4 linked regions of the Medicago truncatula genome follow. The main gene of each other region encodes a partner of the protein of the gene in region 2 in a complex. Links are inferred from orthologs where the notes say so. Each region holds a gene or a part of one and is shown on either strand. Other genes may lie near its edges. The genes, in order: U1 small nuclear ribonucleoprotein 70 kDa, suppressor of mec-8 and unc-52 protein homolog 2, serine/arginine-rich splicing factor RSZ21 and serine/arginine-rich splicing factor RS2Z32.

Region 1 (7,992 bases), on a different chromosome or scaffold from region 2:
AGCTTTTGAATAGACATGTGTATATTGCTTTGTCCCATTAAGCTAATAAGTTAGAAGTTAGAACTGCACAAATTGTGAGGTTTCCATGTTTCTCTATCAGTTTACTAGTTTTGGTATTTTTGAGCTTCTGCATTTTCCTGTGAGAAGGATCAAGTAATTGATAGTGAAAAAAACCGACAACGCCTTATTACAATGCAGATATGACAAAGTTCAGAAAACAAATAATGTTAAGTCAATAATTTGATAGCCGTGAGCACTAGAAACATCAAGCAACACTTCTTATACATATATAGCTGAATCAAATCAAATCAAAGAGAATAATATTGACAATTCTTGATAAGAAGTGTGGTGTGTTGTTATTGACAAACGAGAATGAACGTCCTAGTTTTGGAGCACTGTTGGGGACTTTTGAGTGTTTGAGATTCACATTTACACAGTGCAACTTAATACAAACTAATTTTATTCATTAATTATTTAATATTTTTGTATGTAGTATGTACTTTAGCATTACACAAGTTTATTTTTTGAATTAGAGATAAAAAAAATTATAAAAATAGTTCATTACTCATTAATGTTACATGTAGATTGTATTACAAATGTTGTGATTGTTTCACATTTATGTTTTATGAACAACTATAGATCAAGATTTTGATCTCCTACATCCGTCTCGTTTGAGTTATGTACACTTCTTAAAAAAATAGTTATGTTGCTTATAATGGTAAATAATATGTTAAGAGTAAAATTTCCTTTATACCTAATTCTCCTCATTTGCAACCGGTCATTATTGTTTAGTATTTTTTATTTCTCGTATGTTGTAGTATATAAATGCTTAGATTGCAACATTTGTTTTGTTATAGTATACTTAACATTATTTGTTAAGGTGTATGAATAGTTGGAGCACCTTAGTTCTTAAAAAAAATATTTTGTACTTTAAAGAAATCCCAACACAAGTATCTAAACATGAGATTAAAGTTTTTCGTATCCCACCATAATTGTTCTATATATAAGCACCAATGCAAAACAAAATATGTTTACTATAAATGAACACAACACTAAAATACCGGTGAATTATGATTAATTTTTGATTGACAACCGAACTCATGAAAACTAAATCTTCATTACGAAGAATAGTTTTTATTTGAAAGCATTACGAATAATGGTTTTTATTTGAAAGTGATGACTGATCTTAAGAATAGTAGTCATAAGATTTTTCTGATGACTGATCTGAAGATTATTGAACTAGTGCTAGCTGTTGTTGCCGATGTTTTCTTGTCCTTTTTCTATTGCATTCACGATCTCCCACTTTCTATGGAAATGTAACAAGTTTTGTAATTTGTGAAATGTACTGTAACTCGAGTTGAGTTAAGAAATTTATTGATTTGTTACTTTTTTGTTTATAATTATTATTAACAAGGTATACCTATAGAAATACCTGATAGGTCGATTGTTGAGATAATTTGTTTGTTGAAAGTGCTCCGTTTGTTAGAGGATAAGATGATATCCCCAACTAGTCAAACCATCTCAATACATTTTGCGAGAGAATTTCATGAAGATATATTGACATTTGCAGTTGAGATTGAGGCAATTGTTGAAGAGATTCAGTTCCAACAATTTTCTCATGAGCATCGATGGTTTTGTAGTTGACCATCTATAACTTGAGGTTGAATTTTTTAAAAATGAAAATTATATTGTGTGCTCACAGAAACATGATCGGAACTTTATTTTTTTGAACATAAAGAAAACCATAAAAGAAAATGTTTTACCATTATGTAAATGATTATTTTACTAAGTAGACAAAAATGATTTAGTTGTCATTATTTATATTACTTGTATTACTGATGCTTATTGCAGAATGAATCACCATTGGGTTTGAAAACATAGTTAACTCTCCTAGGTAAATTTAGGATGATAAAGTGTTAAATCTTTAGTTTTATATTTTTAGTTACATGCCCATTTTTATTTCTCTTGCGTTTTGATATGTGATTTCAACATGATTTTTTCAAAGCTGCAAATGTTAGCTTTTGAATAGACATGTGTATATTGCTTTATCCCATTAAGCTAATAAGTTAGAAGTTAGAACTGCACAAATTGTGAGGTTTCCATGTTTCTCTATCAGTTTACTAGTTTTGGTATTTTTGAGCTTGTGCATTTTCCTGTGAGAGAGATCAAGTAATTGATAGTGAAAAAAATTGACAACGCCTTATTACAATACAGATATGACAAAGTTCAGAAAACAAATAATGTCAAGTCAATAATTTGATAGCCGTGAGCACTAGAAACATGAAGCAACACTTCTTATACATATATAGCTGAATCAAATCAAATCAAAGAGAATAATATTAACAATTCTTGATAAGAAGTGTAGTGTGTTGTTATTGACAAACGAGAATGAACGTGCTAGTTTTGGAGCACTGTTGGGGACTTTTGAGTGTTTGAGATTCACATTTACACAGTGCAACTTAATACAAACTAATTTTATTCATTAATTATTTAATATTTTTGTATGTAGTATGTACTTTAGCATTACACAAGTTTGTTTATTTTTTGAATTAGAGATAAAAAAAAATTATAAAAATAGTTCATTACTCATTAATGTTACATGTAGATTGTATTACAAATGTTGTGATTGTTTCACATTTATGTTTTATGAACAACTATAGATCAAGATTTTGATCTCCTACATCCGTCTCGTTTGAGTTATGTACACTTCTTAAAAAAATAGTTATGTTGCTTATAATGGTAAATAATATGTTAAGAGTAAAATTTCCTTTATACCTAATTCACCTCATTTGCAACCGGTCATTATTGTTTAGTATTTTTTATTTCTCGTATGTTCTAGTATATAAATGCTTAGATTGCAACATTTCTTTTGTTATAGTATACTTAACATTATTTGTTAAGGTGTATGAATAGTTGGAGCACCTTAGTTCTTAAAAAAAATATTTTGTACTTTAAAGAAATCCCAACACAAGTATCTAAACATGAGATTGAAGTTTTTCGTATCCCACCATAATTGTTCTATATATAAGCACCAATGCAAAACAAAATATGTTTACTATAAATGAATTTTAATATAGAGATGCAAAACTCTCCAGTTATGTTATAAAGAACACTCAAAGAAACTTGTAAGAAACCAAAACATATAAGAACCATCTTTGATCTTATGTTTAATTAAGTTTGTTATCATTAAAACATTAACTCATAAGGATTTTTGTGATATTCCTCAACATTTGCATCTTCAATGACAAACACTTCTTTTGTTGTCTCGTCGTTTGATTTCTTGTGAGACTCATTGTCTGTTGTATTGTTACCATAAGCTTTCAGTTTACCATTAAATTATTTATCTTAACTATCAAATTGATTCCAAATATTGTCAACGAATAAATACTAAAAACTAAAAAAACGTGTTTAATTGTTATTTATTACCTTTTGAATGTTTGACATGAAGTTTCATTCATGTTCAGCGTAACCTCCAATTTATTCATGCAAAAGTGTGGAAAACCACTTCAAATTCTCTTTGTTTTCTATATCCACAAATATATGCTATTATAAATGTAAATTTGCATACGAAAGCCTTAAAGAAGTTCCAGTCCTGGTGGTTGAGTGGCAGTTAGGGATTTGGTGGCACAATAATGAGATGAAAGAACTCTTCATTTGAAATTGTGGCTAACAGCAAGAGAAGAAGACACGTTGACCGTTTGCGATAGGGCATGCAATAATGTGTTACCCATGGAAGTAAATACAAACAAAACATAAAATTGTATTAGATAATCAATGGATACTTTACGTGCAATGTGTATGCAAATTTAAAAAGGTCCTAGTTTCTACTTCATTGTCTATTTTCTTTATGGTAAATTTAAATTGTCTATTTTTTTTATGGTAAACTAGCGAAAACAAATAATTTGAATTGGTTTTCAACACTGTTGCCTGACGACCTTTGATGCTACGTTCAACATGGATGAAACTTCATTTCAAATATGCAAAAGGTAATAAATAACCGTTAAACATATTATTTTAATTTTTAGCATTTATTTGCGAGTATCAGAGATCAGTTTGATAGTTAACATGAATACTTTAGAAGTCAATTTGATAGCGAGTGACATAATTCAAGGACGATCTTGATTTTCAATGAATAATTTAGGGATCGATTTGACATTGCAACAATTTGTAATGACTTTTATTTCAATAAGGAAAAAAAAAAGGAATTCACAATTTCAATCAATTTCCTCATCGAATACATGACATTTGAGTTTGCAATTCACGTTAGTGCTTAACGTTATATGTCATCACTGTTAACGGTGAGATTTGACGGAGGCATGACGTTCGCAAAATTTAGGAAAATTTTCGTTATTTCAAATAATTTGAAGACGAAATTGAACGATGTGTGCAAATTCAAGGATGAAAATACCTATTCACTTATAGTAAAGCTTAGGCTTAAACACCCTTTTGATCCTTTATCTTTATTTTGACATTCATATTGGTCCCTTATTTAAAAAATGCGCAAATAGGTCCTTTTCATCCATCAAAGGCCAACAACGTTAATTGCAGTGTACATGACCATGTAAGTTAACATCTCATTCTTCCTACTTTATCAATTCTCCTATAAATCAAAATTAAGGTTCATTGGAACCCATATATGATATATCCCCCTATTCTTCACTCCAAATTAGAGATTGACGTCAATATTCTTTCTGTATGAGCAAAAATGTCAAAATCACGAGATTTATCATCATTATTCCTTTTTGAAATTGTTGAACAATGATATAGAGAATAGATCCAACACAAATTCACATAAATCTCATACTTCAAAACCATGAATTCGCATGAAAAAGACTAACACGATACCCAATTAAACAAATTAAAAGATCTTTCTATATTTTTTTTTTAATAAGAGACCAATATAAACTTCAAAATAAAGGACCAAAAAATATTTAAGCCTAAATCTTTATTAGCCCTTTGTGACTCTTCAAACACCTCCAAAACAGACTTATGTTATGCTTAAAAAGCGTACTTTTCCTCCCCTCACTATAAATACTTCTCAGTAGCAGTCAGGTTCGAGATTCAGCTAGCGCTCGCTCATAGCCGAGACGCAAACCGGATCTAACGATCTCATCAATTCAATTCTCTCGTGATTTCATCGAATCTTCACCATGGAAGATCCTCTTCTGCGCAACCAAAACGCCGCCGTTCAAGCTCGTACCAAAGCTCAGAACCGCGCCAACGTCCTTCAACTCAAACTGGTATAGATTCATACTCTTTCCCTCACTTTTCGTTGTTAATTTGACCTAAGTTTCTTCATAATTAACGAAGTTGTTGTTGATTTTCAATAGTTAGGGTTTATTGTTCGTAACCCTAGATATTAGATTAGTTAATTTTTGTTGATTAATTTGATTTGATTGTAATTGATTTGATGCAGATTGGACAGAGTCATCCAACTGGATTGACTGCGAATTTGTTGAAGCTATTTGAACCTAGGCCGCCGTTGGAGTATAAACCTCCACCGGAGAAACGAAAATGTCCTCCGTTAACAGGTGTTTGATTATTGTTTTTGTTAGGTCTACATGATCATTTGTTGTGAATTGATGTTAATTATAGTTAATTATGCAATTAATCCTTCGTTTTATGTTTTTTTGTTTAGGGATGGCGCAATTTGTGAGCAAATTTGCTGAACCTGGTGAACCGGAATATTCTCCGCCTGTGCCAGTAGTTGAAACTCCTGTAATGTTCTGTTCTTTTGATACTAATCATGCTGGAATTATTAGTTTTAATTGTGTTAAGCATAGTTTCGTAACTGAGTGTTTTTTTTTTTTTTTGTCGGGCATGTCTTTGGTGGGTTGATTTGATGCAATGAGTTTATATTTTTTTTAGTATATTTATTTTTTCATATATCTTTTAAAGTTTATTATGCTTTTTAGAAGATGTCCTTAAGAAAACAGTTAAGTTAACTAATTATTAGTTTGCAAAAAAATATTTGTCCTCAGAAGTGTTTTGTTGCTGCTATATTCTGTAGTTAAGTTTTACTGTGTAATATTGTGCAAGCACAATGTTTAACTGGCTAAATTTGACTCATTGCGCCTGCTTTTTTCTACGGTACTAATTCGTTCTAAGAAAATATCCGAATCAATGTTGTGGTCATGAATAACAAATAGATAGTTTGGGTACTCAACATATTAGTTGAAAAATACAATTACTATTGCATATTCAGTCTTTACCAGGTTCCAGTTTTTCTTCAATTTACTTAAACAAGTGGTTATTATAATGTATAGTTAATGTAGCAATTGGCATATAAAAGCAGTAAAGTAGTTTAAATGCCAAAGCCCTTGTTTCAATAGTGAAGAGTATAATAAAGGCATAATCGCTGATCCATTTTGGTATACTCAGGCAGAAAGAAGGGCAAGAGTGCACAAGTTAAGACTGGAGAAGGGAGCTGCAAAAGCTGCTGAGGAGCTTGAGAAATGTGATGACTCTTATATATACTGTTTTAAATTTGTTGATTTTTGTGGATTATGTTATCTGAATATTTGTTGATTTTTGTGGATTATGTTATCTGAATATTTTTCTATATGTTTCAATGTAGATGATCCACACAACGATCCAAATATATCAGGAGATCCATACAAGACTTTATTCGTGGCCAGACTTGTAAGTTATATTTTCCAATAGAGTAACTACTGTGCTTTTTCATATTGCTTGTCATATCTTATTGATTCCATCTTCCAACAGAGTTATGAGACTACTGAGAGCAGAATCAAAAGGGAGTTTGAGTCATATGGTGCAATCAAACGGGTAGGTATTTTGAATATGTTCAAAAGGGTTCGGTAAGCTTATCATCTATGTGTGGTTCAAAACTTACTCTATTTTACTTCTTTTTGACATCTTTACAACTTTTGAGCCTTCAAACTGTATTATTTTCAAATTCAACAATTTCCATATACAGTGATGTATCGCAGAAAACAAAATACTAGCTATTTGAGCATAATACAATCTTTATACCTTTCCTTTTGCCACTGAAGAAAATGTTTTTTGTGACTTGAGAGGTTTTCATGACTAAATAGCTTATCAGGAAATCAGTCTGCTATGTGTAATATCTATCTCATCCTATCCGAAGTTTCAAGGGTATAGAATACGAACGTTCCTGATTTAATTTGTCAATTTTAGTGGTTTTGAAATGGTAATAATCAATGCTTTTGGTTGCTCCACCAATTTGTTGTTGATTGCTTTTTATTTATTTTCTTTTGTCATTTTCCACTTTGCTCCATTCCAATTGTTAATATAATATGGATGGGATATCTTGGGGCTTTGGGTCTCTAGAAATTTTTAACTGCAAATTTAACATCTTGACACGAGAAATGCTAGAAACACTCTTTCTAACACACTCTCGATCAGAGTCTCCTATTGCGTGAAACTCATGTGGGCCTCACCACTTTATGTCGGACCCATTTCCAAAGTGTGGTACTTACATGAATTTCATCCAATAAGAGAGTGGGTATTAAAGAGTGTTAGAAAGAGTGTTTGTAGCTCCCCCCTTGACACAAACACCTGGTAATGGTTTATCATCTTAATATACGTCCCTGGTAATGGTTGATTATCTCGATCCACATCCCTGGTAATGGTTGATTCTATAACAATAAAACCCAAATTCCATTCAAGTGCTTCCTCCTGCATGGTATTTTAGTTGGTAAGAACAATATGCAAAATTGTGCCTTTGGCCTTGTTTTCGATCAAGTAAAGGAGACTGACAACTTCTGTTCTTTTCCTGCACTGGGTAAAATATGTTGGGTGTATTTCAATCTCTTCCCTTTTTTATTAAATTCTTAGTTAGCCTACATTTGATGTTGCTATAACTTTATTTTTGGCTTTAAAGGCTATCAAAACAAAATCAGCTGTTGAGAAGATGTTATGGTATTTTCTATATTACCCAGAGTTGTTTCCATTTTATCAATTTTAAAAATTAATATCCCTGGTAAGGGGACACTAGTCAACACCTGGTTA
Region 2 (7,776 bases):
CTTGGGTGCCCTACAAAAGAACAAATTTTACTAAACAATTTTTAAAGGACAATAAAATGCTTTAATTGATAGCAGTACAACCACATAACTACTACTGCAGAAAATTCTGACTCAGTCACCTGGGTTTCCCATCGCCATCATCCCCAGCATCTGGCTTCTTAATCTCACTTCTTACTTTGTTCAGCAAAGCATAATCCAAACCTTTAACCAAATGTGTATGCTCCACATCACCTGACCAATGTAATTAACGCAAACAAGGTAAGTTATTAAAATAACACATTCAGTTAGGGCTTCATGTTTTAACCTACTCTATCATAAAGCAAGAATGTCAAAATGTAATCAAAAGCGTAAGAATATAAACCTGAATAAGAAAATATCACGAGGCATGCAGCATAGGAAATTCAAAATTCCAAGTTAAAACCTACTCACTAGATATTAGAGTCTACAATATATGGAAATTTGAGATCATCGAGGTTTAGGATGACAACTATGCGTATGTGCATCACAAAGCCCGACCCAGCCCCCCTCCTACAAATAAGGAGGGTTGCGTTAGACAAATAACAACCAACGTAAAACTTTGTTAAATCTTTATGGAACAAATCATTGATGATCTGGAAGGAGGTACATAATTGCTAAATTCGAGGTGAAAATTGGAGAATGAACTATTTACTAAGCAGCATGGTTTAGGTAATATTAGGTCTAATTCACAAAATAACGAAGAAACAGAAGGAGATGTCAATTACAAGATCCAACCAGAGTAGATGAAATGGAAGAACACTTAGGGGTAACATTTGACAAAAAAATACCACTCAGAAGTCAGAATTAGATGACACTTTTATCGCACAACTACAACACTGAATGTTGGGTAGTAAAGAGCCTATGAAAAGGTAAGTTCAGTGTTGCACAAATAAGAATGATACAATGGATAAGTGATCAAACAGCAAGATAAAAGTAGAAACAAAAGTATTAGAGAAAAAGTAGGGGTAGACCCCATTGTTTAAAAATGTTAGTACTAGTAGAGACTCATTTACGATGTTTTGAGATTCTTGGAAGACACCTATAGATGTATCGATTAGGAGGCTAGAGCAAATTAAATATAGTCCAGACTCTAATAACTAGGTATAGAAGGAGACCCAAATAACCTATATACAAAAGCATTAAAAGATTATATTATTCGATAAGATTTATGATAAAAAAATTACAACTTTGCTTGATCCATGTAGTCAACCCCATCTAGTGGGAAAAGACATTGTTTCTAGTTGTTGAATTATTGTCATGATGAGGATGACAACAACAAGTGAATGTTCAATTTATTTTTAGGTTTCTAATGCACCAAAGTAATAAACCTTCCCAGAAACAAGAATTATATAGTAATTAACAATTTTATGAACATGCAGAAGAGACCTAAAACAAGCTTTTATGCAGTGTGTCAATCGCAGATCGCAAAAAATATTGGTTTGTTCCAATTCCACTATGCTACAGTACTAAAGCACGCTATCTGTATTGTCGATGGCTCATGGCAGAGAGCCAAAAATGTAACAAACCAGACCAGTCTCCTATTGCTATTTGACAAAACTTTGTACTAAATTGTGTATCGCAGAACAACAGTGGTTTATTAATATTTCATTACACTATAGCGCAGCCATTTGACAACGCTGAATTTAGATTAACAGTTTCCTTGCAAACCAAAACAGCTTTTAGAACAATAGCAGTCTGTTAAACTTTCATTAAACTATAGCACGGCCAGTTGACAATGCTACTTTTAAAATAACTTTCTTTGCAAACCAAGACAGTTTTGAGAACAAATAGTCATTTGTTAAAATTTCATTAAACTACAGTGCTGCTATTTGACAACACTGCTTTAAGACTAACTATTTCTTTGCAAACCAAGACAGCTTTTAGAACAATACAACAACCGAGCCTTTTTCCGACTAAGTGGGGTCGGCTACATGGATCAAACGACATCATAGTGTTCTATCATATATCGTATATGTATCCAATTCAATAATATCTAAATCTTTCGTAATAGTTTCTCATATAGTTTTCCTACATGACTACGTCTTTCTCTACCTTTCTGATTCGAATACCCTCTATCTATCTATCTACTCACCTTACTTCAAAATCTACAAGTCTTTTTTCTACACTACCGGTTTGTTAAAATTTCATTATACCATAGCACAAACCAAGATAATATTAATCATTGTAGAACAAAATAAAAGTACAAGACGAACCTCCAAGGTACTTGCTCTTCTCAATAGACAATTTGTGCGCATCAGATGCCCTATAAAACATAATCAACATTAGACAATACCAAAAAAAGTCTCTTCTAGCTTAACTATCGTCTCGAGTTCAAACTCAAGTTTGGGTATGCAACAACATTAAAACTGATAGTTCGCCACCCATTTGGGTTGCTTGAGAGATTAGTCTTCATAGTTGCGCGCCAATTCACACCCAACAAAAAAAAAACTCTTTTTTGTGCTTCATGCATTGATTAAAAAACAAAAAGGCAAAAATCGAAACTTTACCTGATATCAACGGTACCAGGAGGAGCAACAGCATGAAAACCAAGTTCAGTTTGTTCATAATCAGGATTTTGATCTTCCCTACGTTCTTTAGCTCGATCTCTATATTTTGGCAATTCTGGTTCTTCCGGTTTCTCTTCCCTGTACAAATTCAAACACTTTACTATTTGCACCCCACAGAAGTTACTATTTGCACCTCCCACTCCATAAAAAATACTATGATTTTGTAAAAAAAAATGAGATTGGATGAAACTTACTTGCGGCGAATTGGTTTATCTTTGTGATTTTTCTTCGATTGTGTCATATTTGAAACTCGATTGAAAGTGTTGAAATGTGAGATTGAATTTTTGGATTGAGTTTTGTTTTTGGTTTAGGGTTTTGCGAGGGAACGAGAGAAAGAAAGACGTGAAGCTGCTGCTGGTGAATGAAGGAGATTAGAGAGGTTTTAAATTACGGAAATATCCTTCACTTTCAGGACTTTTGGGCGAAAGTAAGAAAAAATGAGGAATTGAAGGAAAGATATAAAACAAGTAATTTTTGGCCTCTAAAAAAAAATATTTTTGGTTTTTTTATTGAAACTAATTCAATAAATTTTTTTGTTCTAGTGGCTAGAATTCACGTGTTCGTGATTCGAACTCCGACCCCATATAATAATGTATTGTCCTACCAATTGAGTTGTGCTCACGGGACCAATAATTTTTTTATGAGTAAATAGTCAATTTTCCCCCTGAAATTGTAAGTTTCATCAATTACCCCCCTGAAATTAACAAAACTTCAATTACCCCTCTAAAATTTCACAACGTTAGTCAATTTACCCCCTCCGTCAAATTTTTCTGTTAGTGAACATGACGTTTTGCAAATACCCCCCTGAAGTTTTGCACTTATGTGCAAAATGCCCCCCAAACTTAAAAATTTATATTATTTTTTTCTTAAAAACAAACAATTAATAGTTAAATATTAAAGCTAACTATTAATTTTGGAGTTTGGAAAAACTACATACATATATACATCAAAATAGGGAAAAATGTTTATTTTTAAAGTGACAATAATGGTTATTTCTAATAGACAAATTATTATTTTTAGAGGTTTATAAACAAATTAATAATCAGATTTAAATTTATATTTTCTCCTTCACCATCTTAGTCTTTTAACTCCTCCAACTCCTTCAACAATTTGCTCAAACCATTTAAACTACACAACCCCCAATATTAATCCACAAATCATCCCATTATTGTCACTTTAAAAAATACATATTTTTTCCCATTTTGGAGCCTATTTTGATGTATATATGCATGTAGTTTTCCCAAATTCCAAAATTAATAGTTAGTTTTAATATTTAACTATTAATTGTTTGTTTTTAAGAAAAAAATAATATAAATTTTTAAGTTTGGGGGGCATTTTGCACATAAGTGCAAAACTTCAGGGGGGTATTTGCAAAACGTCATGTTCACTAACAGAAAAATTTGACGGAGGGGGTAAATTGACTAACGTTGTGAAATTTCAGGGGGGTAATTGAAGTTTTGTTAATTTCAGGGGGGTAATTGATGAAACTTACAATTTCAGGGGGGAAATTGACTATTTACTCTTTTTTTATTGATAGAGAATTGATTTAATAAGTTCCTCCGTAGTTTTGTCATCGTGAGTATATATCAATTGACAAAATAATGTATTGTTATCTATGTATGGGAGTCGGGTTTCAAACATCAGATACTCTACTTATTTACCTTAACAGATGAATTTTAACCCATCAAACAACTTGACAAAAAATGTTATTTTAGGAAGAAAAATTTGTGTCAACTATAAGTCGTTTTTACAATTTTAATGAAGCTTATATTTTATGTTATATTCTTAACTATTTATTACTCTATCTTTTTTCATTTCTCTGATTTTATCTTTTTCATATCATCAATGAATGATGATTTTGTAAAATAATTCATATTTTTTTCCTAATACTTTCTATTTTTTATACAAAATTGATTAGATTTCTTAATTTATGTGAAATTGTTGAAACAATTTATAATTTAGGACGAAGCAAGTTTAAGTTTTTTTATTTTTATTTTGAGGTGGAGAGTAGTAACTACTAAGTTGTAAGTTAGTTTGTTGACATTACCATCGAGAGTTTGAATATTTTTTCGTTCCGACAAAATTATCAATTTTTTTGTCTTTATAAAAAAAAGACACTTTTTTTTTATCCTTACAAAATTTGTCGAGATGTATTTTGGTCATGTTGTAAAGTCAAGATGTATTTAAATGATTTTTTACACATAAATTTAGGACTCATAAATGTTTTTTTTGGAACATCTGTTTATAAACTCTTAAATATAGACGAACTCAAAAATATATTCAAGAAAACTTTGCATGATTTTAAATAACTTTCTAAATCATTCTTATTTCTTTATTGACTTGTTTGAAACCAATGGAAACCCAATAGGCATGTAGGGTAAATTGAGGATCCCATTATTTCCTTAATGGACCATCCGAACATCCACCCGTATCCAAGTCCATATCACTTAAATAATTAATTATTATTTTAATAGAAACTTAATAAGCCTTTTTCATTATTTGATCACTAATAATTAAGGCCCTTAAAAATAAATAGATAAAATAATTAAAACATATATATATATATATATATATATGCCCATATAATAATTATTGGAATATTATAATTAAATAAATTATAATTAAATATTTCAACATGGCATTGAGACTTGGGTTGGTTCAGAGGTGGGTGTGGGTTTTTTCCTTGTTGCTGCTGGTTGTTGTTGCTACATTGGTTGTTTGTTTTGGGGGTCTGACAGCGTTTTGGGGTGCACGTTATTGTTCCTTTTTGATTGTGAATTCATGTCTTGGCTTGTTGTTTAAGTGTTTTGACATTATGTAAGATCTGATTGTTTTACAATATTGATTGAATTATGGTAATGTTATTATTAGTTTGATATTGAATTTACAATGTATAACTTCTCAATTTTAGTGTCACAATATAAACTCAACCCTTTACACAAGGACAATGATGGATAAAAGAAAACAATATAAGCTCCACAACAAAATTTGTTTTTAGTGTCACGGCTTAAATTTGATTATTGTTCGAAACACATGATTGTCACTCGCTTCAACTAAAAACTTTCTAATTATCAATCCATATTATATTTTTGTTGCCAGTGAAGGAATGAAATGGACATGTCATGTATAATATAAATGAATGAATTAATTGTGTTTGCACTGGACCTGCCAAGTTAAGGAGAAATAATGAAACTGTCGTGTATCTAAAACTGCACATGTATGCTTAGTTAACTGATACTGATAGTACAAAACAAACTTAGGCAACTCACTATTTTTATTAATAAAAATTACAGGCATAAGGTATAACAAAATTACAAGCATCATTTCAAAAGTAATGTTATACCATTCAATATCGTTTTACTCGATTCATATTTTTCAAATTTGACCGTTTGATTATAAGTTTATATCATTTAGATGATCCATGTAAATTTTCACATAAAACTAAAATCATTTGATATGTTATTGAGACCCATCAAGATAAACAATTTATTCATTTTTATAGAACATCGTTAATCTTAGTGGTTCACAAAAACATATCAAATAATTTTCGATTTGTATAAAATTTTACATAGATGACCTATATGATATAAACTTATAATTAACGGTCAAACTTGAAAATATTAATCGAGTAAAACTATATTGAATGGTATAACATTGATTCAACATTACTTTAGTGTAATTTAATTCCTTTTATATATATATATATATATATATATATATATATATATATATATATGTGTGTGTGTGTGTGTGTGTGTGTGTGTGTTGGTAGGTAATATTTTTAGAGAAATGTTAAGGTCACACCACTAGTTCACTCTTTTGACACATTAAATAAAAATTAGTCATGTGTTATATTTTTTTAATTCAATCTACTGATGACTGGTTCATCCTTTTAGTGTTACTAATTATTTTATTTTTTATTATTAAATTAGCTTTTAACTTTTTATCTCATGTGATCCAACTCCCACACACACATTCTTTTCATGTTCACTTTCAGGTTCTTCTCTATCAATGAAATTGGCTGCTTTCATAAAATTGATTAAACCTATTTTCTCTATCAATGAAATCATGTTCATGTTCTAACTTGCTTTCACTCTTTATTTATTTTTTTTATTTCCATTTCTCACCATTGACATGTACTAGTACGACATATTTCCTTGTTATTATTTAAATCAAAGTTTATATTGTTATCATATCATTATGAGTTATTGTTATCATTTCTTATATTAGTTTATTATGATAGTCATATCATATATGAGTTATCGTTACTATTTAAATCATAGATTATATCATGTAAGAAATTTATTTTAAGTAGATGAAAAATATAGAGATTATTATCAAGAGTTTCGAGATGTTATTTCATTTAATACAAATAAGTATAAAATGTCATGTTCTCCTTTTATTGGTGTGAATAATAACTTTCAGTCAAGGTTACTTGGTTACACATTACTAGTAGATTAGACCTCAAATACTCTCATATGGATGATGAAAACATGGCTCAAAACGTCGGGCGTAAAACCTCCAATTGCAATAATATGTGATCAAGATAGAGCAATAAAAGTGACTATCAGAGAGATATTTCCAAACACTCAACACTGATTTTGTCTTTGGCATATACTTAGAAATGTTCTTGAGAAGTTTTGTCATGTATTAAGAAATATGACGACTTTATCAGATATCTAAACTCGAGCATTTATATATCTTGGTTAAAGCAACTATTTATACATAAATGACAAGAGATTGTGAAATTATTTCAATTATATGGGTATGGGTGAATTAAGTCTTTATATGATAAACATGATCATTGAGTTCCTATTTACATAATGGATACTTTTTTTTGTGGTATGTCAACAACTCAGATATATGAGAGCATTAATTCATTTTTCGACAAATATGTAGGTTATAATAAAACTACATTAAATGAGTTTGTTGAAAAATATATAGTTTCCTTGCAAGATAGAGAAGAGACAAAAAAACAAGTAATTGATTTTAATACATGACACACGGAACCGATTCTTAAAACACCTTCACTGTTTGAAAAGCAAATTGTACACATGAAATCTTCATGAAATTTCAAGTTGAAGTTTTGGGATTACTTGGAACTCATATTTTGAATGAGACTAAAGACAATCAAATTACCACCGTAGAAATCTTAGACTTTCAGAAAAATGAAGAGTTTGTTGTAGAGTGG
Region 3 (7,165 bases), on a different chromosome or scaffold from region 2:
GCTACAACACTTAGCAATCCAAGTTCATAGTAATACCCATTCCATTGTCATGACATAACATAATTAACATGTATGTTGTATGCTCACCCAATCCTAGAGAAACTAGACTATAGCAGAGAGGGCTCCACAACAATTATTCATCATTTGCTCTGTTCACAATCAGATCTTAATCTCTGGAAAAAAGAAAAGGGAAGATTTAAAATATGGGTAATAAGTTCTCAATTCTCATGCCATTCATTAACTCAAATCACATCATCAGAGAAACTGAGTTGAACATAATCAATCGTACCCGTTGGCATAAGGTGAATCACGGCGAGAATAACGGTATGGAGGAGGGGATCTGCTGTAGCTACGACCACGAGGAGGTGTTATGCTACGTCGTCTTGGAGATCTTCTCCCACGCGGGCTATAACTCCTGATAAAATGAAGCGAACCCAAATGAAAACAAAACATGAGAAGATGAATATATCAATAAAAGAATGGTTGCTACAAAATGACATGTTTGAGATGCTTATTATAATGCACTTACAAATTGTACAGTGGAAATGAGGAATTTCAAATATTATGAATGTTGTCAATTTGACATTGAGATCTTTTCCAGCCACTCAGTGGTTAAGTTGAATTTATTTTAGTTAATGATTTATGAATATCCTTTCCAGGCTGAGTGAGAGGACAGGCTAAGAATGTTATAAATCATTGCAGTTAAATTTTCCCAAGCAGAGAGAAATTTCAATTAAATAAATGATGTGAAATGGTGATACAAATTGACAATTAAATAGAGCTTGCAATAAAGAAGTCAACAAATCTACCAAATTAACAAGGAATAAAAGGCAAACTATGAAGTACATAAAATGAGAAGTGTTATAAGTTGGGGATGGATGATCATGTCGGAAAGCTAAAAATCTGCCATATCCGCCATAAAACGCCACCATCCTTCACAATCTTCCCCGGGCGTTTGTCAAAAAATACACTACCGCAATCCGGCATGGCCAACATTTGACAACGCTAAAAATGAGAACCGAAAAAGTGTTGTCCCCAACATAATTTGCAGAACAATCACAAGCAAGCACCTCAGCAAAGATATTGAATTTCATTCGAATAGAGGCGAAAGATATGAAAAATATAAAAATAAAAAAGATATGATGCACGCCGTTGATTATTTCACCAACTTCAAGCAGGTTATGGATTGTGTTAACATTTTCTAAACAAATTCCTGTTCCCATATCAGTGCGTAAAAGTACAGTTTTGCAATCAATGTATCAAAGATATTTGCATTCCTTAACAATGACGTCCAATCCAAACTCTAACAAAATAAAAAGCTAAAAGCTTGCTAATTGAAAAAGTTGCTATTGAAATGCAGAATTTTTTGGATTCATATAAAGCGTGTGCACATAACATACCTGCGATCATAACCATAATTTGGACTTCCACGGCGCCGATAATAAGGACTAGGACTTCGTCTCCTTCCATTTCCTAGGCCTCGTGAACCACCGCGTGAACGGCACTCCCGAGCAAAGTGTCCAGGTTCACCACATTCATAGCATTTGAGGTCATCCCCTCCGCGTCCACCACGCCCACCACCACGGCCTCCTCCTCCTCCACTCTTAGAATTATGAGAAAGCTCTACACGCCAGCCATTTTTTCCTATACGACATTCATACATTATGATAACCCCAAATCTCAATATGATGCATAAAAAGAAGAAAGACAAATGCTAATCACCAACAACATACACTCAACAATGATGACAAATTGACAAATAGGAAACTTACCATCCAATTCATGAATTGCATCAAGGGCGTCCCTCCGATCATCAAACTCGATAAATGCATATCCTGGTGGTCTGCGAGCCACCCAGACACTGTATTGCAAAAAACAATAATTAAAATTTAAGACTTTAAATCAATAATAATGGAACAAATTATGAAAAATGTGTAACACAAACAAAATGAAAACTAAGTTCATGAACAAAACCTATATCAATATTGTTAATCACAACGCTGGCCTTACCATAAAGCAACTAAAGCAATGGCTTTAGGCCTCTAATTTGCATTAATATTTAGCCTATAAATCTAGACCTCCAAATAATTTGTATATATTTTTTATCTACAACATATTTTAGTGTTCTCCTATTAGAACATAATTAATGGTGTAGCAGCGGTAAAGTACTCTTTCTTCAGCCGAATGATCGCAGGATCGAACCTGCCATTTTCATTTTGGGAGTTCACATTCCTCACATTTTTTGGAAAAAAGAACATTAATTAAAATAACTAAATAAGAAAATATCTACTGTTGCAGTAGGATCAAACCCGTGGCGCCATCTATCCTAGACAAAATCTTAACCAATGAACCGTTATTATGCCTTCTTTGAATTTACTTCAATTATCCATTCTCTTTACTCTCACTTAATTAGTTTCTCCCATAAAAATGTTCATGCAGACAATAACGAACTAATTATTGATAAATAAATAAATAACTATAAAAAAATAAAAATAAAAAAAATAAAAAAAACAAATTTACAAATAATTATCAACTTGACGTAAATAATTAACTGATAACTCAATCATTAACCACAATTTCAATGTAATCATTCCTAAACTGAAAATATTTCTATCAATTCAAATAAATTTTCTTTGTTGAATGAGAGTGAAGAAGAAATTACCTGCGAAGAACACCATACACACGAAATTCATCTTCAAGTTCCCTCTCAGTGACTCGAGGGTCCAAATTCCCAATATAAACCCTAGCCATTCTCTCAAAACCTGTACAAAATTATTATTGTGAAAACGAAAAAGTTACTAATCATCACCCAAAAAAAAAACGAAAAATTTGAGAAGAAAATGTACGAAATTTTACAGTTTGGGAAATCAGAGATCACCTGCAAGTGAAAGAATTGTACAGAATTCTCTATGATCGTGAGTGAGCGTGTTAAGTCCCTAGAATTTCTAATGCTTCAAACGATGGCGTTTTGGGCTTATTAGTTTTAGTTGGGTATTCTAATAATTTGCTTTTAAACCCCCTTCTTACTTTCTTCACTTTTGGGCTAGATATTTAAAATACAACACCAAAGTGTCTCGAATATGATATAATATATTTATAGATATCAAATTTTTAACATCAACTTCAAGAACACAAAACCATCACAAAAAATTTTAAGGCTTAATTAGTTTTGATCCCACTATTTTTAGTTATTCGCAAAATTAATCCCCCAATTTTAAAATCACTCGATTTTAGTCACTTTATTCTATTTTTAGACTAAAAAAATTGTGATGGTGAATTGACATAGTTTGAATTACGTGTCATATGATGTGACAATAAGAATGACCACTATAAGTTCAAAACTATGTAAAAGAGATCTAAACTGAATGATTTTAAAATGGGAGGACAAATCTCATGAGTGAGTAAAAATAAGGGGGACTAAAACTGTAATTAAGTCAAATTATAAATTGTGAGTCTGTGTGTTAAAGAATATAGTGGAATGTGAGAGTTTTAAAAATAATATTTAAAAAACGGTCTCTATTTAAGTTTTGTCATTGTAATGTCCCTTATTTGTGTCCATTTTTTTACCTGGTCAAACTCGGTCACTTGCATTTGGAGCGAGACAGGTTTTATACACCCTTAGTTTGGACGAGGTAATTGAATATACTCCCTCCGTCCCAAATTGTATGTCGTTTTAGGGAAAAAATTTATCCCAAATTATATGTCGCTTTACAATATCAATGCAACATTAATGTTACTTTTCCTATTATAACCTTAATTATTTATTACTCTCTCTTCTTTCAATTCTTTCATTTATCTTTCCCATATTATTTATTAAGGATAATTTTGTAAAACAACTCATAATATCTTTTTTCCACACTATTAATTGCATTTCTTAATATGTGTGAAATGCCCAAAACGTCATACAATTTGATACGGAGGGAGTATTAGAGAAATTAAAATTCTATGTAATTCAAATCATTCGATGGCATTGTCTTCACTTTTAAATGTTTTTATTTGGATAGAGTAATAAATCGAAAAATAGAGGTCAATTTGATGGTAACTGAGAAACATTATAAATAGTACATTTATTGTGCTCATTGTTCAAGGCAAATTTAAAGCATGATCTCTTTGTGCTTTGAAGTGGTTTAAACATCAAAATTGCTTCAACCGGAACTAGATTTAGTCTTGAAAACCATATCGTCTTCTAAAATAACTATATAATGATGCAGGATTTTATAATCACTACAAAGTAAAAGCAATAGATATGAAATAGATAATGGGGCACAATGAGTCTTACCAATATAACTACCATAAGAATACGAAGCTATGATGGTAGGACACACCATTTGTATCTTGAAGGAGAGCAAATGATAATTTAGAGTTACCTCATCCTTAAGTAATGATTTCTTACAACACTAGAAAGGATTGGATTTGGAATTGTTCTTTATAGTTATGAACTCCAATATTCCAAAGCAAATCTTTTATAAATTACATATTTTCTAAATCAAATCAAATATAAAACTCTCAACAATCAAAACAAATCTAGCTAAACATTAAGGAGAAAAATAAACTTGATCACAAGTCTATGTGGATTGATATTTTTATCACGATGATAAATTCGTGCATTTGCGAACGTATCATACTTCTGCAGACAGACGTCCTTCTTGAGTGATCCTTTTGATATGAATATTTAGACTTTGAGTGAGCATGTGTCATATGGTATCCACAGGCCGCAATAGAGCGTGCGATCCACCAAGCTTGTTTTGTCTTTGGAGAGATTCATTTATAAGGTTGGAATTGTATGCGTTCATGAACTAACATGCAAAATAGCCAAAATTAAAGAAGGGACATGGATTTTGTTTCTTCAAAATGTGCCCTTGGTTTTTTTAATTTGCCATTATTATTATTTTCATTGCATCTTTGTTTTAATCTACTTAATTATAAAATCATAGAACAATCTATGCATAAGCATTATAAATTTCGACAAGCTTGCTTGGTTTAGGTGGCAGTTGCTCAATTTGAGAAAGGTATGTGTTAATTCGATAAACTTTTGTGCTTGTTCGCCGTTTTCTTTTCGGTTGCGGTGAATTAGTGTTTGTCGGGTAGATCTATAACGCCTATATGCGGCATCTTTGTATTGTTTTTCCTGCCGTCTCTTTACGTCTTGCGAGAATTTCAATTTTATTAAATTTTACCGATTAAAAAAAAAAGTTATTATTCACGTTCTCATGAAACTTAGAGAAACTAGAGGCGTTTCTCTGTTTAACGTTGTTAATGTTGACTTTAACAAAAGAAGATGGAAGATAATTGCTTTTCTTAAGTCTTCAATAACATTAACTTAGTATGCCTAGTAAGATCACTAGTTGTGAAGGGATTGTCTGACTATTTATTTCTAGTGTGAATCTAGACCCTCTGTTGAAAATTCATTTGTGGAATTTTTTTGAGATCAACAAAATGATCGACATCAAGTGGTTAATGATCTTCTGTTAATGATGAATTGTTTGAAAGAGTCTGAGTCTAAACCCTTGCAAGAACAAAATTTTGTCGGAGCTTACCTACTTCTTAACTGAATTTAGGATTATAACTCCTTCCTTTAGAACTTGGAGAGTTAAAACAAAAAGAAAAGAGTTGATTTGGTATCCCGATTTTAATGAATGAAATGAATTGTCCAATTATCAGTGGACCAGATATGAGATGATTATAAATGGGATTGTATCGGTGATCATGTCTTTATTTCTATCTGTCGTGAGTCAAACATGAAATCTCATTTCACGTGAACTTTAAAAAGTGAACTTTTTGTTCAAAAACATTATTAGGAAACCAAATAGATGCCATATCAGATGGTAACATATACATGTAGTTCTGTCCAAACAAAATATGCACGTGGAGTAATGTGGTTTGACACATTCAAGATAATCTAATTGTAGATTGAGATCAAACGGTTCAGATTCTTAATTTAATATTTTTTTTATTATTTTAAAAAATAAAATGCATATTAAAATATAGATCGTTCGTTCTTTGTTTAAGAACCAAATAGTAATGCAGGTGCTAAAAGAAACTAAAGAAACATGCTTTGAGTAATTATCCAAATAGTAATGCCGCTCTCGAATTAAAAATGAAAGTATGCTACAGTAACCATGTTCCTTTCGTGATACATTCGTGAATTGTTTTTTGTTTGAAGTAGCATTTCACAAATCTAAAAGGTAAAGACCTTATGTTAACAAATAACAACTTAATGCTATTAATTTTCAATATGAACACGAAAAGCTAATATATATAAGTCACTGAAAAGAAAACCACAAAATCACATTCATTTGTTTATAACATTGAGTTTTGAATTTCAACAAAGTCATTATATAGCGTATGTTTGTTTCAGCTTTAAAAAAATAGATTTTATGTTAAAAGAATTTAGGTATTTTTTTAGAAATTTTAAAAAAAATCTTTAAGTTATTTTTGTTTGCCTACTATCCATAAAAATTCATTTAAAAAAAAAAAGAGTTTTAACTTGTACATGTCTTACCTCCTTGTTTTTGAAAAATAATAAATTTTGAAAAAAGTTAATCCTAATAAATTTTCATTTTAGGGTCAAAATAGAATTATTTTTCTAAAAATCCTAAACAAACATTTAAAAATGAAAAAAGTGATTTTTTTTTATTTTTTAAAATTCAACGGGGCCATACTCCATATAAGTATGAACAATCTTCATGACCGGTATAAGATTTTTTATGCCCCGGGTGAATAAATCAAGTTGTGCCCTTTTAATTATTTGAATGTTTTTCTTATTAAATTTTTTGTTGCAAAGGACTCGTTTATAATCAATGTTCTCTAATAATATATTTCAATATAATTAATCAAAGTGAGTTAAAACAAAATATATTTTTATATTGTACGAACTAATATATTTTAATATAATTAGTGCCCCTAGAAAAATGGTGTCATAGGCCGTCGTCCCTCTTGCTCACCTTCAGAGCCACCCGCGACAAGTGTGTACTTTCTCATGAATTATATCTAAACAAATTTTGTATTTTCGTCATTTTGTAAACCTCTTCGTCGTAAGACGTGTCTACTTTTCAAAACAAAATCAACAAATACGTAGAAAACTAATAAGTCGGCCATAACTTTCTCAATTTAGGTTTTCTCTTCTATTTCTTGCATGGAAGGGGTGATTTTGAGTTAATTTGTG
Region 4 (7,426 bases), on a different chromosome or scaffold from region 2:
AACGGTCTCTACTAAACTCAAGACGGATGCCGGAATTATTCGGAATCCGTCTCGGTGCAGTTCTGGTTACCGGAGGAATCTTGGCCACCATCTTTTACCGTCTTGACGATTCACCAAAAGGTGTTCAAGAGCGTTTGGGTTTCTTCGCCTTTGCCATGTCAACAACCTTCTACACTTGTGCTGAAGCTATCCCCGTTTTCCTTCAAGAGCGTTACATTTTCATGAGAGAAACTGCTTACAACGCTTACCGTCGTTCTTCCTATGTCCTTGCACACTCCATCATCTCTCTCCCTGCACTCATCTTCCTCTCCTTCGCCTTCTCCGTCACCACTTTTTGGTCTGTTGGACTTGCCGGCGGGACATCTGGTTTCCTCTTTTACTTTTTCACCATTTTAGCTTCCTTCTGGGCTGGGAGCTCCTTCGTCACGTTCCTCTCCGGCGTTGTTTCGCATGTGATGCTTGGTTTCACCGTTGTGGTTGCTATTTTAGCTTACTTTCTTCTCTTCAGTGGATTCTTCATAAGTAGGGATAGGATTCCACCTTACTGGATATGGTTCCATTACCTATCACTGGTGAAGTACCCTTTTGAAGGAGTGCTTCAGAATGAGTTTGATATTAAGCCACCAAGGTGCTTCGTCAAAGGGATTCAGATGTTTGATAACACTCCGCTTGGTGATGTCCCAGGGAGTTTGAAGGTTGAGCTGTTGAAGAGCTTGAGTAGTACACTAGGGACTAACATAACGAGTTCTACTTGTGTTGTTACTGGAGCTGATATACTGAAGCAGCAAGGAGTCACACAACTTAGTAAATGGAACTGCTTGTTCATCACCATTGCTCTGGGATTCTTCTTTCGCTTCCTCTTTTACTTGGCGTTGCTATTTGGGAGCAAGAACAAGAGGAAATAGACACAAAAATCATATTGTAATAATCATATTGAGAGAGTATTGTAGCATGAAAACAATATTACAAATAGGTTCATGTATCATTGTGATTAAGGCTAGTTTAATTATCAACGGTGATCTTGTGCTTTTCTTTTAAAAAAAGATGATGATTGTATTTCTAGTATAATTTTATTTTTTAGTTGGATTAATTAATTGGGGCTTCTACGGTGCAATTTTTTTTTTTTTTTTTTTTTAAGTATTGAAAAAGTTATTTTTTTTAGCTAATAATATAACTGCAAATGTCATGTCTAGTGTCCTGCTAGTGCACCACTCTAAAACTAAACTTTACCTTATTACAAATCAGTCCGCATACAAAATATTAAGGGAAATTTCAATCTTAGTGCACAAATGATAATCTATGTTTAATTTTTATTTAATTAGGGACACAAATTGTAATAAGTAAAGATATAATGACACAATACATAAATACTTAATGATTAATCATTTAACTTCACCAGAAAAGTCATTCTCATAACTTCACCGTAGAATTTTCCTTAATTTATATATATCCTCAATTTATTTTCATGCTTAATCTTTAATTTTCTAGTAGTTTTCGTTTACCTCAAATATCACTGCAAATTTAGATGTCAGATAGCACTCATACTCTAAAATGTTCATGACTTTTAACACATGAATCACCTCGTCCCTTATTTTAGAGAAATTTCTAATTGATCTCTAACTTTACTGAACATTGATTAATTAAGTCGCTCTATCAATAGTTCAACTCGATTATGTGGCACATTATGTACCTAGTTGACAAAAACTTCACAACACACAATGAGACGTAAGGGACCACTCTGCATTGCTTCTATATTTAGCTTCGAGTATGTGCCGGTTTCATCTTCCCTATTGAGGAAGTAGAATCGCCGGCCTAAGGTATTGATTTCTATAAGGTATTGGCAAAGAGACTCAGGTAATGACCACAGACTTGCTTTCAAAGAATTAATCGGCATTTATAAAAGGGGGGTATTTGGTGCATGGAGTGTTGGTTGTTCAGGAATTTGGTTTGTGCGAAAAGGTTAAAAGAATAGCTTAATCTGTAGATGTTGAAGAAACTTACAATTCAGTTGGTTGGAATTTTTTTAATATATGTTTAGGGAGTTGGCTTTGACGATAGGTGGATGGGTTGGTTGGATACGGGCTTGTGTTTTCTCTGGTAGTTTGCCGGTTTTGGTGTATGGAAATCTAAGGGAGGAAATTGCTATAAGTAGAGGTTTAAAAGCGGTAGGATAGCTGGCATAGTTCTTATCCTTTTGGTGGCGGAGGGGTTGAGGATCATTAATGAGAAAAGCGGTAGGATATAAATATTGTAAAGGGTTCCTAGTGGAGAATCCGGAGGTGGTTGTATCTCATCCACATTATGTTGATGATACTTTATTCATTGGTGAGATTTGTATCGATAATCTTTGAGCAATGAAGGTAATATTTAAGTGGATTTAATTAATGTTCGGGTTAAATGTTAATTTTGCAAAATGTAGAGGAAGTAACGAAGATTATGAGTTGCAAAGTGAGAATTTTTTTGTTTACTTATCTTGGCCATCTGGTGGAGCAAATTCAAGAAGAGCTTCAACGTGAAACCCGATGGTAGAGGCAATAAATAAAGGTTACATTCTTAGAGGAGTAGATATGTTAATTTTGGAGGAAGTGTGGTTTTTATTAATCTAGTATTGGGATTGATCCCAACATTCTACATGTCACCTTTTAGAATATCAAGTTGTGTTTACCTCGAAATTGTCCTTTTTCTATAAGGAAAAAAAAATTGTTTAGTTATTATACATTTCTTCCATTTAGAAAAATGAGTTTGTTGAACTCGATCAGTTCCTTCACGCCTAACTCGCCGCAAAGGAAGTTTTTGTGGGGAAGGGTGACAGAGGAAAACAAAAACAAGTTGAGTAAAATGGAGTGAGGCGTGTAGGCCAAAGTTATGTGGTGAGTTAGGAGTGAAGGATTTGGTGATTTTCAACATACTAATTTATCTAAATGGAAGTGGTGCATGATAACGAAGCATATGTTTTTCTTCTTTTGGAAGAAGGTATTGAAAGCAAGTAGGATTGGAATGAATAAGAAATATTCAATATGGTGGAGAGACTTGAGCAAGGTGACCTTATTAGACGAAGGGGAAACTGATTCTATAAAGTAGTCGGGAGAAAAGTTGGTAATGACGTTAATATCTGGTTTTGAAATGAAGTTTGGGTAGGAGAAACACAACCACATAGTTTTTTCAAGATTATTTCTATTGTCGAACCAAAAAAATAGGTGTGTGGTAGATATTGGAAAGTGGGTCCTAGATCCGTCATTGCTAAACACGACCATTTTCGTATGGCTTAAATATGTATTTCATCCTTGCAATTAGGAGTCGTTTAAAAATTGGTCCATGTATTCGCCAATCCTTGCAAACTAGCCTTGCAATCATTAATCATTTAAAATTTCGTCCATTGCCACGTGAAATTGAAGAAAGAATTGAAAACCCCGGGGTAAAATTGGAATTTCATGTGTGACAGTGATTGCCACGTCATCAAATTAGTGACGTGGCATTGATTAAGTGGGGAGAGGGACGAAATTTTAAATGATTAAACAATACAAAGGTAAATTGCAAGGATTAGCGAATACAAAGACCAATTTTTAAACGACCCCTAATTGCAAGGATGAAATACATATTTTAACCTTTATGTATTCATGTAGGTGAATTTATAAAGTATACACCAAAGTCAATCAAACCACAACTATAGCGATTAAAAGTATACTCTCAACATCAATCCGACACTCAACAATTGTTTCACAAAACCACAAAGAACAAATCGACTATAGGGTCAGAATAATAAATGTTTATGGTGCAAGTACAAGTTACTAAGCTATTTTATTTTTGGCAAATATCCTATTATAGGTCATTACTTTGTCCACCCTACGAGTTTCTTGCACACCTTTTTAGATATTAAGATTTGAAATATTTCAACGTGTTTTTAAAGGTTTATAGGGTTTTTATGAAGTTTGGATTCTAAAATCCGAACTATATAGGGCGCGTGAGACCTCGCAAGGTGGAAAAAGAACACGGTCCTTATTATAAGAGACAAATTTTATGGTATACTAAAAAATTTGAGTGTACCGGTACACCAAATCGTTAAATTAAATAATTAAACGAGTTGCTTTTTTAAGAAAAACAATTGTATTCTATCATTAACAATTATAATATTGAATCTATTTATCAAAAGTGTCGACGAAATAATTTTTTTTTTTTTTGTTACTCATAACAAAGAATATTTATGATTTTTTATGAGAAAATGTTAAAAATTTAATATGATTCTTATAAATAATAAAATGATAGTTTTTCTTATAAAATGATATTTTCTAAAATATAAATATTGATAAATAACTTTTTATTTTATAAAATGATCGTTAAAACAATAAATTTATGTGATGTATCGCAGAAGATCCCATTATAAGATCGTATCATAAGAAGCCCACTAGGCCCATGTACCCAACTTACTCCAAAAATAAGACATTGGCAGCGCACTTGATATAAATAGTGAAACGCAAGGTAAGAAGCCGATCCAGTTTCAAAGTGTTAGGTTTTCGGCAATCTCCTCCAAGGTACCAATCCTCATTCTCTTCTCTCTTTTCCCCAATTCAATTCAATTTCATTTTCCTATTCCCTTTCAATTTTTTATTTTTCCATCGGATCTTGTAATTGCATGCATATCGCCTTCAATTGATTCACCCTTTAACCATTCAATTCCCAGTTTCCAATTTCATCGATCGGTTTGTATTTCTCTGTTTTTCGATTTAAATTTCGTAGCTTGATTTCAATTAGATCTAGACAATATCTATCTATGCTCGTATTTTTTTTTGGGTGTTTAATTTCAACTGTTTATCTACTTTACCATCAAGAGAAAAAGAGATTTTTTTTTTTGTTTCCAATCACTTTGTTGATTCATAACCCAATTTCAGTTATTGATTGCATACAGCTAGAAGATATCGACAATGCCTCGCTACGATGATAAGTATGGCAATACCCGCCTCTATGTGGGTCGTTTGTCTTCACGAACTCGTTCCCGTGATCTGGAGCGGGTCTTCAGCAGATATGGAAGGTAATTTTCAAGTTTTACACTGATTTAATTTCAATTGCATTCACAATTGTTTAATTGGGTTTTGCTTTATGCAATTTTTGTCTTTTGTATTATTTTGTGTGCAATTGTTAGTTCTATCACATTCCATGTCTGGTTGTGTATCTAATTCCTAGACTATTAGAGGAGATCCCAGACCTTGTTGTGTTTGTCGGATTTGTTTAGGCTTTACCAATTTATGAATGGAAAATTATTACCATGTCTCCTTGTGTCACTTCCTTTGTTGATTTGCAACCGAGCTAGATTAGTGATGGGTTTGGCATGGGGTGCCATTGTCTGTGGGCCTGTTTGGATAAACAACTTATTTGCAGCTTATGTATATGCTTACATAAGCTATAAGCTATTTCGTTAATAATAGATGAAATAAAGTTAAATTCTTTTTGTATATGTTGCAAGTTGTTTTCATAACCTATATTGGAGAACTTATGAAAATAAACTCAAAAAAGCTTATTAAAATAGTCAAAAGCTGTTTTCAAAAAATTTCTTCAACAGTCTCACTAAACTTAATTCAGTAGATAAGCTCAACTAAGCCAATCCAAATAGGCCCTATTTCTAAAGTTAGGGAACAATATACAGGTTCTTTCCAAGCTTTGTTTTGGGCTTGGATTTATGTTGGTTATACCTCATGTTATGCGTGGGAACCGTATCCCACAGGTGTCATTTTTAACTTAAATGATCTTGTTGAAGGTTTTTGGGTTTTCACTAAACCCGGAGGTCTGTGGTGGGAGGGTGGCCTTGGTGTAATCTTGGTGTAATTGGTGGAAATTCCTACCTGAGTGTTGACTTTGGCGATTCTTTCTGTAATGTTATTGCGTGTTTTTATGGAATTGGCAACAATCACAAACTGGTGTTTAGTTCGTCTTTGAGGGGCGAAGTATCATACAGTTCCAGTAGTTAAGTAATGATGGCCTTACTGTTTATGGAAACCATTTCCGCAGCGTTCGAGATGTGGATATGAAGCATGATTACGCCTTTGTTGTAAGTTCTTACCCTTTCCCGTGTTTGTTACTTTTTTATTTTCACTTTGATTTCTGTTCTTTGCTCTGCCCAAAGGTGGCTTCTATTATCTCTACTCGGGGGGAGTTCAATTATAGATTGTGCGGTAAGATTTGTGTTACTTTTGTGGCTTGTTCCTTACATATTTTGAGCAGGAATTTAGAGATCCTCGAGATGCTGATGATGCAAGATACAATTTGGATGGTCGTGATATTGATGGAAGTCGTCTTATTGTGGAATTTGCAAAAGGGGTAGGAATTAATTTCCGGCTGTACTTATTACACCTTTTTTTTTTGTTTCTTTGTTATGTCTCTTTTATAATTAGCTTTCAAGGATTTTTTTTTTTTTTTTGTATTGATGTTCCTTTTTAATGCTGATGCTTTAGATGTTTCATTTGAAAGTGCTTGCTCCATCCATGTATATATTTGACGAGTGTCTAATCTGATAGTCGCATATAATTACACACTCCCTTTGATTTCATATATAAGCAAAAATTGGTCAAAGGAAGTTTATGAATTTGGTCCAAATTTTATGTCAAAGATAGTTTTTGAATTTTGTCCTAATTGGTCCAAAATTAGGACCAAATTCATCACCTTTATTTGACCAATTTTTGCTTTTATTTGATTCCGGAGATAGTATTGGCAATTTGCAAGGGATGCTTATCTGTATGTCTGTCCGATATCTGTATGTCTGTATATCTGTATGCAAGGGATATTTTTGCTTTTTGATATCCTTATTGTCTTATAGTTCACTATTCTTGCTTTTTGGCACATTCTGTTTTAAATTTCTAATTGGGATTATCCCTTGAAGATGAATAGAAGAGCCTTCAATTTAACTTTGTAATTTTCAATGAGGTTTACTAGCTTTATTTTGGTTTTGGAATTGGTAACTAACTCTTTGATATCCTTATTGTCTTATAGTTCACTATTCTTGCTTTTTGGCACATTCTGTTTTAAATTTCTAATTGGGATTATCCCTTGAAGATGAATAGAAGAGCCTTCAATTTAACTTTGTAATTTTCAAGGAGGTTTACTAGCTTTATTTTGGTTTTGGAATTGGTAACTAACTCTTTGATAATCCTTATTGTCTTATAGTTCACTATTCTTGCTTTTTGGCACATTCTGTTTTAAATTTCTAATTGGGATTATCCCTTGAAGATGAATAGAAGAGCCTTCAATTTAACTTTGTAATTTTCAAGGAGGTTTACTAGCTTTATTTTGGTTTTGGAATTGGTAACTAACTCTTCCTCTTGCTATATAGCAGCATAATAAAAAGTAATTACGTTAATGACAACATTAGCAGCACAATAAAAAGTGATTAATTTATGATTACATTGTTGGTCTGTTGTCTTTTATTTTTATGGCTTGA

The links.
Region 1: suppressor of mec-8 and unc-52 protein homolog 2 (region 2) and U1 small nuclear ribonucleoprotein 70 kDa share a complex: the UniProt entries of both Arabidopsis thaliana proteins name them as parts of the spliceosome. The link is inferred for Medicago truncatula from reciprocal best matches to the Arabidopsis thaliana genes SMU2 and U1-70K.
Region 3: suppressor of mec-8 and unc-52 protein homolog 2 (region 2) and serine/arginine-rich splicing factor RSZ21 share a complex: the UniProt entries of both Arabidopsis thaliana proteins name them as parts of the spliceosome. The link is inferred for Medicago truncatula from reciprocal best matches to the Arabidopsis thaliana genes SMU2 and RSZ21.
Region 4: suppressor of mec-8 and unc-52 protein homolog 2 (region 2) and serine/arginine-rich splicing factor RS2Z32 share a complex: the UniProt entries of both Arabidopsis thaliana proteins name them as parts of the spliceosome. The link is inferred for Medicago truncatula from reciprocal best matches to the Arabidopsis thaliana genes SMU2 and RS2Z32.

What each region holds. Positions count from the first base shown.
Region 1 is NC_053049.1:35,603,313-35,611,304, reverse strand, and holds the start of U1 small nuclear ribonucleoprotein 70 kDa, read left to right. Parts: upstream 1-4,978; 5' UTR 4,979-5,150; coding exon 5,151-5,240; intron 5,241-5,416; coding exon 5,417-5,531; intron 5,532-5,638; coding exon 5,639-5,718; intron 5,719-6,381; coding exon 6,382-6,457; intron 6,458-6,577; coding exon 6,578-6,642; intron 6,643-6,723; coding exon 6,724-6,786; intron 6,787-7,992. UniProt on the Arabidopsis thaliana protein: Mediates the splicing of pre-mRNA by binding to the loop I region of U1-snRNA.
Region 2 is NC_053043.1:19,409,768-19,417,543, reverse strand, and holds the start of suppressor of mec-8 and unc-52 protein homolog 2, read right to left. Parts: upstream 3,002-7,776; 5' UTR 2,827-3,001; coding exon 2,780-2,826; intron 2,664-2,779; coding exon 2,526-2,663; intron 2,282-2,525; coding exon 2,232-2,281; intron 232-2,231; coding exon 120-231; intron 11-119; coding exon 1-10. UniProt on the Arabidopsis thaliana protein: Auxiliary spliceosomal protein involved in splicing of specific pre-mRNAs that affect multiple aspects of development.
Region 3 is NC_053049.1:29,287,154-29,294,318, reverse strand, and holds the start of serine/arginine-rich splicing factor RSZ21, read right to left. Parts: upstream 3,016-7,165; 5' UTR 2,879-3,015; exon of another isoform or gene 2,857-2,878; intron 2,763-2,856; 5' UTR 2,752-2,762; coding exon 2,663-2,751; intron 1,862-2,662; coding exon 1,773-1,861; intron 1,645-1,772; coding exon 1,401-1,644; intron 416-1,400; coding exon 290-415; intron 174-289; coding exon 167-173; 3' UTR 1-166. UniProt on the Arabidopsis thaliana protein: Probably involved in intron recognition and spliceosome assembly.
Region 4 is NC_053048.1:47,217,102-47,224,527, reverse strand, and holds the start of serine/arginine-rich splicing factor RS2Z32, read left to right. Parts: upstream 1-4,416; 5' UTR 4,417-4,529; intron 4,530-4,886; exon of another isoform or gene 4,887-4,903; 5' UTR 4,904-4,919; coding exon 4,920-5,026; intron 5,027-5,749; exon of another isoform or gene 5,750-6,000; coding exon 6,001-6,040; intron 6,041-6,213; coding exon 6,214-6,309; intron 6,310-7,426. Other genes in the region: ABC transporter G family member 20, read left to right, coding at 1-905. UniProt on the Arabidopsis thaliana protein: Probably involved in intron recognition and spliceosome assembly.